3 linked regions of the Astyanax mexicanus genome follow. The protein of the gene in region 1 purifies or fractionates together with the protein of each later gene. This does not show direct contact. Links are inferred from orthologs where the notes say so. Each region holds a gene or a part of one and is shown on either strand. Other genes may lie near its edges. The genes, in order: sf3a2, dhx15 and snrnp200.

The links.
Region 2: the proteins of sf3a2 (region 1) and dhx15 purify together in Homo sapiens (affinity purification with mass spectrometry; 4 studies listed by BioGRID and IntAct, with this or other methods). This does not show direct contact. The link is inferred for Astyanax mexicanus from reciprocal best matches to the Homo sapiens genes SF3A2 and DHX15.
Region 3: the proteins of sf3a2 (region 1) and snrnp200 purify together in Homo sapiens (affinity purification with mass spectrometry; 4 studies listed by BioGRID and IntAct, with this or other methods). This does not show direct contact. The link is inferred for Astyanax mexicanus from reciprocal best matches to the Homo sapiens genes SF3A2 and SNRNP200.

The regions. Positions count from the first base shown.
Region 1 is NC_064411.1:49,889,725-49,893,558, forward strand, and holds the start of sf3a2 (splicing factor 3A subunit 2), read right to left. Parts: upstream 2,799-3,834; 5' UTR 2,699-2,798; exon of another isoform or gene 2,695-2,698; intron 1,493-2,694; 5' UTR 1,420-1,492; coding exon 1,222-1,419; intron 1-1,221. UniProt on the Homo sapiens protein: Component of the 17S U2 SnRNP complex of the spliceosome, a large ribonucleoprotein complex that removes introns from transcribed pre-mRNAs.
Region 2 is NC_064415.1:27,957,464-27,961,297, forward strand, and holds the start of dhx15 (pre-mRNA-splicing factor ATP-dependent RNA helicase DHX15), read right to left. Parts: upstream 3,094-3,834; 5' UTR 2,973-3,093; coding exon 2,905-2,972; intron 1-2,904.
Region 3 is NC_064419.1:15,951,448-15,955,047, reverse strand, and holds the start of snrnp200 (U5 small nuclear ribonucleoprotein 200 kDa helicase), read right to left. Parts: upstream 2,298-3,600; 5' UTR 2,074-2,297; coding exon 2,029-2,073; intron 935-2,028; coding exon 771-934; intron 691-770; coding exon 519-690; intron 1-518. UniProt on the Homo sapiens protein: Catalyzes the ATP-dependent unwinding of U4/U6 RNA duplices, an essential step in the assembly of a catalytically active spliceosome. Plays a role in pre-mRNA splicing as a core component of precatalytic, catalytic and postcatalytic spliceosomal complexes.

The sequences.
Region 1 (3,834 bases):
CGCGTTCCCGCTCGGGTTCAGGCAGACAATCTAAACTTTAGTATGCAGAACTATATTATTATTGTTATTAATTTTACATTCTTTTAAATAGCAGGATACTTTGATTTTTATTTCTCAGCCCGGACGAGACCGGGCCCGAGGAAAGTAATGGAAAATCTCGGGTCAGTCCAGGCTCCAGGAAATAGTCATCTGTTTTTTAATACTATTTTTATTTTATATAAAGCTACGGCCTGATAATCACCATATAACAAAGTATTACTGTTAACGAAAACGAACGAAATAACGAAAACTGAAAGTGAAAGCTCCCCTTAACTGAAACTAATAAAAACGGTAATTAAAAGAAAAAAATAAAACGAACTGAAATTACAGATTGAATACCCTCATTTTTGTGTTTGTTAATTTATTTATAAGCGCTGTATCCACTACAGCAGCGTAACAGCGGGTGGTGTTGTGCCGTTTCTGCTCGTGAAGGGGAGCCGGGGTTCAGATGTCGGCAGCGCGATGCAGCGCGCAGCGCCTCGCGGTCCGCAGAATTGCTTATATTTACAGCCTCGAGCTAGCTGTGAAATAAGGACAGGAAACTCTGAGGAAGCTGCAGAATTCTGTACGGTATTAGAATATGAGCGTGAGTGACATAAAAAAACTGTTTTGTAGAGAAATAGGAGATGAGGAATATTTAAGGAAACAGCTGTAACTTTGAGTAAATCACACTGAACACCCCATGCTGCAGGATAAACTGATAAATCTAATCATTTTGGTGGTTGGTTGGTTAGTTGTTAGGGATTTATTGTCACTTCAGCACAAATGTGAAAATTAGTGAAATCTGTAGAGTTTATTGAGTTTTTGCTGTATGATCTCCTCAGTGAGAATCCCCACCCCATAACCAATCAGGGAGCTCCAACTGCTGACCCCTCCTACTGCTCTTTCATTGTGGATGCACAGAATGTCTTAAACGTCCGTTTTTCAAAGTCCAGGTTTGGCACATCACGTGGTTAATATACCGTCACTATTTTACAATACCGTCACCATATTTAAATACCGTGGTATACCGAAATACCGTCATACCGCCCAACCCTATGTAGGTTGCAAAATGTAACCAGCGAAAGATTCTAAAATACAATACAATTCAACAAGCCTGAGTACTCTAAAAATCTTGTAAGGTAAACAACAAAATTTGATTGGTTAGAGGACTCCTCTGCATAAAAAGGCCTAGAATCTTACCTCATTATTGTGAAGCGTGAGACACAGTTTGCACTCATAAGACCCCAAATGGTTTTTCATGAAATACGGATCCTTATTGATGTCTATCGTTTCCAAAGCCAGCTGCCGTAAGCGTTCCCGGCGGTCTCGGTTGCTCTCCGAGGCGGAGGCAACTCCACCGCTGCCGGTTTTCCCTCCAGCTCTGTGTTGGAAATCCATCTTCACACACCAGGGGGCTCAGAAGCCGAGACTGAGAATCTCAGACTCTCTGAACGAGTAAATGTGAGCTGACCTGATTCATCAAACAAGACAAGAGAAACACACATGTTACAAGTTACATCACATCATCACAATATTTTTTTTTTTATATATATTGTGTTATTTTACATATTTACACTTACATTACATGCATGTTTATGGCAACTGGCTGGTGCTCTTTTATACAGATCAAAACGATTTGAACCAGAGGAATAAGAAAACAATGAAAACCTGAAATTAAAGCTCATTAGTCTCTAAGCTGTGAATTGCTTAGACACTAGATATTCACTATAGTTTATTGATTATTACAGTACCAATCAAAATGTCTATGTTACTTCCTTTTCTTTATTTTATTTATTTTGTACACTGTAGACTAATATTAAAGACATGAAAACTTTTAAGGGATGCATACGGAATTATGTAGTAAACAGTAGGGGTGGGCGATATGGCTCTAATATAATATCACGATATTTCAGGGTATTTTTGCGATAACGATATACTTGGCGATATAGAAAACCAGAAAAATAATTAATTAATTTCAGGAATATAGTATAATAATAATAATAATAATAATAATAATAATAATAATAATAATAATAAGAGTATAACAGCATAATCATAATCTGGCAAAATAAATAATATAGCATAAAATAATATAATGCAGCAAAAATATTGCAGAATATTTAGTGCATGCATATAAACTGCAAACTAAAACAATTATACAATAAATACACCTAAAGCTTCACAGTAAATAATAGACTACTTTTAAGACAGAACATCTCTATTATCACGATATGGATTTTTAACATCACGATATTTCTATCACGATATATTGTATACGATATAATATTGCCCACCCCTAGTAAACAGTGATAAAAATGTTAGTCCTCCACATTAATCCCCTGATCTAAACCTGATCGTTAGAAGAAGAGATGACCAAACTTTGGTCTGGTACTGTATACAGACCATTTTACACTGATTAAGATAGTTAAGTTTGGTTAGCTAGCGGTAGCTATGCTAGTTGTTGTTTCTTTAGCCGGATAACTAGCTAGGCTAACTGGCAAACTCTAACTGCTAAACCCCATTCAACACTCAACAGCCAGTTCCCGCTTATATTAGAGACTTATATAAAATCGAATACATCATTCTACAACCACATAACACACTAATAATTACAAATAATAAATAATAACCGTATATGCGCTATAAACTATATTATTTAAGAATATATCTCACCTACCTTAACGTCCAGCTCACGCTTCTCCCCGCAGACTACACGTTTGCGCATGCGCTGAACCAGAGCACGCTTCCTCTTCCAGTTATTCCGGTACAAAATAGTAGTTTTGTAGTTCTGTAGTTCTCAGTGCAGCATACAGTTAGATTAATGACTATTGTAGGATTTGTGTGCAATTATTTAAAAAAAATACTATAAGAGTATTTTTTGTTGTAAAGTTTGGACACTTCTCATCTTCTCACTGCAAAAAAGCTCTTTATCACTGGCTGAGAAGATTTGGCAATTTTATTTTCCTGTAAATATTTTTTGTTGTTATTTAATGTTTTATTGGTTTCAAAGTAATTGCAATTTACAGGAAAATATTACATTAATCAATCTCAACAAACAAACAAAACATTTGTTGGCAGCACACCAAAGAGAATAAGCACCAGTGTTGTAAGCAATAAAAGATTCTATAAATTAATAAAGCAATCAAAACAGTATAAGTATAAGTATAAGAATGGTACATAGCTACAAGTTAATCAGATTTTAATATTCTACTGCCTTGTCCCACACTTCATAGTATAACTTACATTCTTGGTTAAAAGAATAGGTCACTCGTTCCATCAAACATTGGACATTTTTTCATGGGCACAAACCACATAGAACAGCTACATACTCAGCTCTGCTGCTCCTCCCACAAATGTGGTTCCGTTTAAAAGAAAAATTAACAGGTTTTCCAATGGTTTAAGATTTACTGCCAAGAAATCTCAATGTCATCCGCTAGTATTGGTCCACTGTGTTATATAAAGTTTAAAGTCAGTGCACTGTTTTCCGGAAAATCTTACAGCACTTAATGCTTTCCTCTGCTGACAACTTTTATGGAGATGCAGATTTCATTTTCCAGCAGGACTTGGCACACTGCCCATTACCAATTGGTCTTACATAATATTCTAATTTTCTGAGACACTTATTTGTTGGTTTTCATTGGCGCTTAAAATAGATCTCTCTGTGTGTTATACATCTATATAATATATGAGTTTCACAGTTTGAACTGAATGACTGAAATAAAGTAACTTTTTAATGATATTCTATATTTTTTCTTGTGTGTCATGGACGTGCTTTTATTTTGAAAGGACGCCTGAATGGCTGCCTCTGCGCCG
Region 2 (3,834 bases), on another chromosome or scaffold:
TGTGCATCCCTAGTTTAAACACATAATTAACATGTCTGATGCAGACAATTCCTTTTTACAATCTTCTGATTGTTCACCAATTCCTGAACTATGTTTGGGGTAAAAGGAAGCAGTGAACAACTGTTTTCTTCCCTCATGAAATCCAAGTAACGTAATCGGCTGGTTCAACGCATTAGCTAAAAAGCATGTTGATATAAACTGGGTCAAATCTGAGAGAGCAGAGAAAACAATGCAGCAGATTAAGCCTCCCAGACAGGCACATCTACCTTTGTCAGTATTTTGCAACCATGGCCCTGGAACACCAATGATCAAAAATGAGTAAAAACCGGCAACACTTGTTGACTGAAGTATTTGCTATTTATTAGAGATGATTAAAAAAAAAACGCATACATGTCTAATGCACTGCACCGTGTAGTTTTTGCCTCTCTAACAAGTAACCTGATTCAAACAATCAGCAGATTAATGAACTAGCCCATTATTAGGTTTACGTGGGTGTTGAAAAATCATTAAAATATTCAGAATAGTGGGCCAGAGGGCCAGGACTGACCAACACTGGTTTATATCACACTTTCTACTAGTAATGTATAAAAGTGTGAATAAAAATGGCATTGCATATTTTTCACAGTATATATTATAAACCTTAAAATAATACAGGGATTTTCACCAGAAGTCACCAGCATTGGTTTGGTGTCTGTATATTTCCAACTGATACTTGCTGATGTAGGCTATATATTGAATACCAGAAAAAGACTAAGCACTGACTGTGCAACAACTTTAAAATAATTTATTTCAACATTATATTTTTATTTTATATAATCTACTGTTTTATTTATTCTGTCAATTGTTAATGTTAAAAGAAGGTTTTAAGCTGTGACCAGTCTAAGGACCAGTAAGCTAAATAGATGTAAACCAAAATATTAAAAAGTGACACCTTTCATTTTATTGTTTGCGTACTGTCGATTTTAACATTTATTTTTAAAGTCTCTCGGCAAGTCAGAAATATGTAACTATATCGGCATTGGCCCAGATATCCCACATTAGTGCATCATTTTAAAGTGTCCTCACTTATTGACTAGTGGAAAAGAGGCCTTTGTTTCTTTGAAACAAAAAAAAGCCCTGAAATTGTTATGTTTACTCATGTAGAGAAAACAGGCAGCTTCTACAAGTGTCCTGTAGGAGATTTTAAAGCCTTCAGAAATGTAAATAAGTTATTTTGCTGTAGAAAAAGGGTTTTTTGTATGATCTACACCTGTAGCATTTATACGGAACAAGGGTTATTTACGTAAAAGGTTAAGTAAATATACCCCTTCAACGTCCTTATTCATTTATTTATTGGTAATACTGCTTAGCATTGCTTTTTCTAAGGGCATGTGTGCATCTAATGTCTGTCTTGTTGTGTATTTAAACTGTGTATAAAATAATAAATATAGCTACTTAAATGTCTTATTTCTTAAAAGGTAAAACAAACAGTCAACAAAGTTACCTGACATCAAGCAACACGCCCACTACACTCCACACATGGCTAACTAGAAAGCTAACCTTAGCGCTTCGTTTTAGATCAATTAAGCCTGTCATTTGTTGTCTAACCCCTTCAGCTTTGCAGCAGCAGCACTTCACTACTGCTAAAACAAAACATGTTAAACAATATAACGAGATAATTCAATCAACTGCGTGCGAAACGTAGTTAGTCAGGTTAGCTAACCTAGCTTTAGCTCAATTTTAGACAGAGCGGGCGGCAAACATGAATTGGTAAGCTATGTGATGCTAACGTTAGCTTAGCTTCTGGTGCTAACGCTTCCAGCTTTGTGTTGGGCAGGCATGTGTGCCTGGAGACACGCAGGTCGAACGAACTGCCTAACTGGCTAACTAATCATGCGTGCAGGTTAATCAGTAAACCGCACAGCAGGGTTGCACACAGCTAGCTGTGATGTTAACGCTATTCAAAAAAACTGGGACAGGGGATTATCCAGCTAGCTAAGTTAGCTTAGCTACACAGGCCGCATGGAAAATGGACGAGTAAGCAACGTCCATGCTAGCTTAGCTTAGCTAGTGAGAAGACCGGTGTTCCGTCGAGTAAGGCTACCCATCGATACCTGCTTCCTAAAGGCACTACGCATGCGCTGATCTACAGTTATTCATTTTTTTATATATAAAATATGCATTTAAAAAAAAAAAAAACTTTTTGTGCATTATACAACCGGGATTCACTGTCACCGTGAAAATGAATAATGATAAATACATAAAAAAAGTTGATTAATAGTTTGTAATGACCTCTCACTGCCATAACTTTCAATAATACAGTGATTTATACTCTTAAAAATTCTACATAGACTTTCACTGGGACCATCTTCTAATATGGTGCTTCTTTTGCATTTTTAAAGTTAACTTACACTAGGGTAGCACGGTTTGACAAGGTAGCATAACTCGACAGAACACCGGCTAGCTGGTTATGCGTCTATATAGCTATTTAACATGAATATAAACCGAAGCATGAGTTAGTACATTCACTATAAACATGTACAAACGAGAAAATCAGACTTCTCGTATGAATGTTATGTAAAATACTCTCTAAACTGGTTTAAATGAACTGAACAGATAGGTTCACTAAGCTATTAGCATTGCCCACGTGCTAACGTTATCCTAGCGTTGCGGATGCGACACGAAACCAGCCGGCTGCTCTCTTGGTTTACCTTGCAGCTTTACCTCACATCTAACACCGGGTTTACACAGACAGAAAGAGCTCAAATAAAGGGGCTAATACACTCTAACGTCCTAATAACACCCTGTCTTGCCACTGCGTCTATAACCCGCCTGTCCTGCCGACACAAAGAGGCCGAGCGGCGGCCGCTCAAACATGAAGCAGCAGCAGAAGCAGTTTTTCATCCACACGCCGTTTAAACCCACCCGTCTGAAGACCTCTTCTTACTGGACGAGTAATCATCGCCCAGGTCCAAGCGATGCCGTTTAGACATCTCAGAAACACGGGATACAAAACGAGTTAAGAACTAAAAAATAAAAAAGGAAAGCGGTCCGCGGATTAATATCTCAAACAAACCACCAACACACACACACACACACCGCTAAGCGACAAGATGGCGACCGGAAGCACTTACCTCATCATTATTATTATTTCTGAGACTCAGAGAGGGAACGGGTTTCAGCCTCTAGAGCGAAGAGTAAAACAGACCCCGCTCTTATAGTAAAAACACCGCATGTGTTCCCCGCGGCGGCGGCGCTTCTCAGCGCGGTTAAGGCGCTCGCGCTGCGGATGCTGTACAGCGGTGCTCCGGGGAGGATGATCTATGTAGCGCCAAATTACCGTTTTCCCTCTGCAGCAGCTTCCAGCAGCCTGCAGTACCGACACCCGCCGAGCAGCGCCGAGCCCTGCTCCCCACAGACAGAGCCTGGAGTGTAGAAACGCGGGAAAATATTATATACAGATTATATTTTAACCGTCCGACCAGTTTATCGGCCTGTTCACTCAGTTTAATACATCAATGCCTCAAAGTAACATTTCTTTCACTCGGTTCTTTAGTCTGTTTCCTCTATTTATCAATATGTTCCCTCTATTTATCAGTATTCCCTCAGTTATAATACATTTATCTCAATGTAAACATTTTTCCTCCAGTTTATCAGCATGTTCCCTCAGTTTTAAATAAATGTATCTAAATTTATCTCAGTGTTTGCTCAAGTTTATCAGTGTGGTCCATCAGTTTAAAGGACCAATATGTAACTCATTTTCAGTAGTAAATGATAAAATGATCAGGATGTATAATCAGATATTAAGGAAACATGTTGAGTTAAAGCACTGGCAGCTCTTGTCAGCAGGGCTTT
Region 3 (3,600 bases), on another chromosome or scaffold:
TTCAATCAAGCTTGTGATTTTAAGGAAACATACAAGCCCTGAATTGAACATTACAAGGATCCCTAGCGACAAACCTAAAAGCAGTGTGACAATCTTAATAACTAGGTACTTGTATTGTACACACAATGGTGACTGTGCACTTAACAGGGCCCTATGATTGCCACACTGCAGAGAACATGGATGGAATAACGAAATAAATCAGAACTCAGGTAAATTTAATATGCACGAAACTACACATGATTCACAGTACAAAGTAAAACTAACATGAGCAGTGTCTGTTAATGACACTTTTAAGTTGAGCGCGGTATTGAATAATACAAAATAAAGCTTAGCTAAGCAAACACGTTAAAAAGAACACAGCCACAACCCAAATACAGTACTACAGACCTGATTCTACAATCATACTAATCTAATAATATAATGTTGGAATATTTTTTTTTCCCCAGAGTGCTTATATTTTTGATGCTGTTAAACACTTTCAAAAAGTTTTAACTATAAACAACAAATACTGAACTTGCCTGGTCTCCAAGAGCAGCCTGAATGAAGCTGAGGAGGATTTCATACGTTTCTCTGGTCTCCTTGGTCTTTGGCTTGTATACGATACCCACCATCTCATCAATTCCTTCTGACAGCAGGGTAAATCCTTTCATTTTGTTAATGTCATGTCTGTCTTCATCTCGCTTTCTTCTCCTACAACACAAAGAGGGGAAAAATGAGAAGGCTAATACCAAAAGAAACGTAATGTTAATGCAAATTTGGAGAATACGTACTTTGCCCTCCTTTCTTCCAACATTTGTGGCTTCGTTCGTTGACTCTTGTCTCCCATTTTGGTCCCTTCCAGTTTCCCAACCAAAGACAACACCTCGCCTGTAGGTTCATCTCGGCGAGTGCGGTCAATGAGAGAGCGATCAGCTTGCAAAACCAAGTTCGAGTTCTGAACCACAAACAGAGAGACAGAGATACAGACTCAATAACAGTATGAGAGTAACACAGTAACAGTAAAAGTGAGTGAGACAGTAACAGATTGAGAGAGTAACAGTAAGTGTAGCAGTGAAAGAGTAACAGAGAAACAGTAAGCGTTAGAGTAACAGTGTAAGACAGAACCATAGTGTAGCAGAGTAAGAGAGAAACAGTGAGAGTAAGAGTGTAAAACAGTAACAGTAAGAAAGTTACATAGTAATACAGTACGAATGTAACTGAGTGCATTAGATAAAGAGTAAGTGTAACAGTATTAATGTGTGCCAAACAAGTGTAACAAACGAGTCAGAGTGTAACAACAAACAGAGTAAGAAAATAAGAAGGAGAAACAGTAACAGTGTAACAGCGTGAGTGTAACAGTGACAGAGCAATAGAGTAGGAGTGTAACAGAGTCACAGTGTAACGTTAAAAGAGAGAAATAAGAACCGTAACAATGTAAAAGTAACCGTAACAGTGTAAAAGTAATACTAACTGTGTAAAAGTAACAACTGTGTAAAAGCAACAAAGGAAGAGTGTAACAGAAACAGAGAAACAGAGGAGTGTAACAGAAGAACAGAGAGAACCAATAAGAGTAACAGTAGTAACAGAGTGAGAGAGAAACAATGAGTGTAATAGAGTAAAGGTGTAACAGAGCAACAGGGCAATAGAGAAACAGTAAGGGTGTAACTGTAACAGAAAGTGTATAAGAGTAACAGAGGAACAGTAAGATTAAGAGAGTAAAAGTTAGAGTGTAACAACGTAACAGTAATAGAGTATGATAATAACAGAGTAACAGAGAAGCCGTAAGAGTGCAACAGTAACAGTAAGTGTATGAGAGTAACAGAGACAGTAAGTGTATGAGTGTAACAGTAAGAGAGTTTGAGAATAAGAGTAAGAGAGAAACAGTAAGAGTGTAACGTTAACTGCAACAGTAAGTATATGAGAGTAACCGAGTGACTGGAACAGTGAGATTAAGAGTGTAACAGAGTATGATAATAACAGAGAAACAGTTACAGTGGAACAGTATGAGAGTAGTAGAGTAAGGGAGCTGTAGTATTTTTCTGTCCTCACCGCTTTATACTCATACTGCAGACTACGCGCTGTAACATCCGCCATCCTGCAGCTCTAGTGTAAGCCCCGGCTAATCCTCAGAGCCCGGGCTAACCGCTCACACAGCTACAGCTACAGGCCTGCGGGGAGCTGCGGGGTGCTGCGGGAAGCTGCGGGGCCGGGTGATAGCAGTACGGTATAGAAGAAAAGTTGCGGGTTCTGCTGCTTCTGCTCTCCCGCACAAAAGACTCACAACGCACGCACGACGCGCGCAGCATGTCACGCAAACAGTTCCGTTTCCGGGTGGTTCCGGAATGGTAACTTTACCCCCCCTGGTGGATTGGAGGTTAGTAGGGAATGCGCATGCGGATTATTTTCAGGCGCAGTTCCACTAAAGAACCGACAGGTGCCGCCAAAGTTCCAAAGTTCCTTTAAAAACTGCACAGATTGGATTGAATGCGCTGGTCCTGTACATGGACCAATATAGTGTATAAAAAACACCAACTTTTTATTAAAAGTCAACCAACCCTATGTGACTCGGTAAAGTTATAAGCATTAGATGTATGTAGTGTTATATTTTAATCCCTTGTTTAATACAGAACAGCAGAGATAATCAATTTGATTGGTTATTGACACAATAAACCACCTGTGTAACTAGATGTGTTACTTTTCTTATATCAGATTCATGTTTGGCCTAACATTGCTATAAAAGTAATACTACAAAACAAGCACAACAAAGTTTGAGCGTATAAATGAACAAATTTTTACATTTTACAAAAGTTTTTAAAACATTAAGAACTTTATTAACTCATACTTGAAGATTGATCGTTAATTAAAGACAATTATACCACAATTAGTTCCGACCCTTTGATGTGATTGGCTAAGAGAGGCTTTCTATGAGTGACATTATTAGCCAGTAATGCACCATAACCAAAGCAATGATGCAGCACTTACAAGCCAAACAGCGCAGCTACAAACAGAGCAGCAATGGAAATGTTTTAATTTAAGTTTTTATAACACAACAGATCAGATTTTCTTGTCCTCGGCCTACGAACGCAGTAAAGCAGTGCCAATATTACACGTTATAGCACTCCCTCTCATGTTTTATTGCTTAATTCATTAAAACCCCTTAAAACATTTTGTCCTTTGAGTGTTAGAGCTGTAAAATTGACTGGGGGGGTGGGAGCAGGTAGGCGTTCTCTTCTGCAGTGCTGCTAGCCAATCAGAGGTTATATATTTGCATGTATGAATATTCATGAGCAAGAGCCAAAACCTGTCTTTCTTCAGAGACCTCTAATTCAGTGATCTAAAGCAGGGATAAATAGAAACACCTACAACTAGACACCTACAACTAGACATTTTAAAATTAATTAAAAAAACGATGGAATGAGACATTTAACGAGTAACTTCTTTAAATAGATTTGGCTTGTAGTTCAGCACTTTAAACATCAGACACCAACAATTTTGAGGGAGAAAGGGTTCAAATAAGTATTATTTATGTAGTATATATTATATTGTATTATATTGTATTATATTATATCATATTATATTATATTATATTATTTACGAAGTTGGAGGTAATAATTACGAATC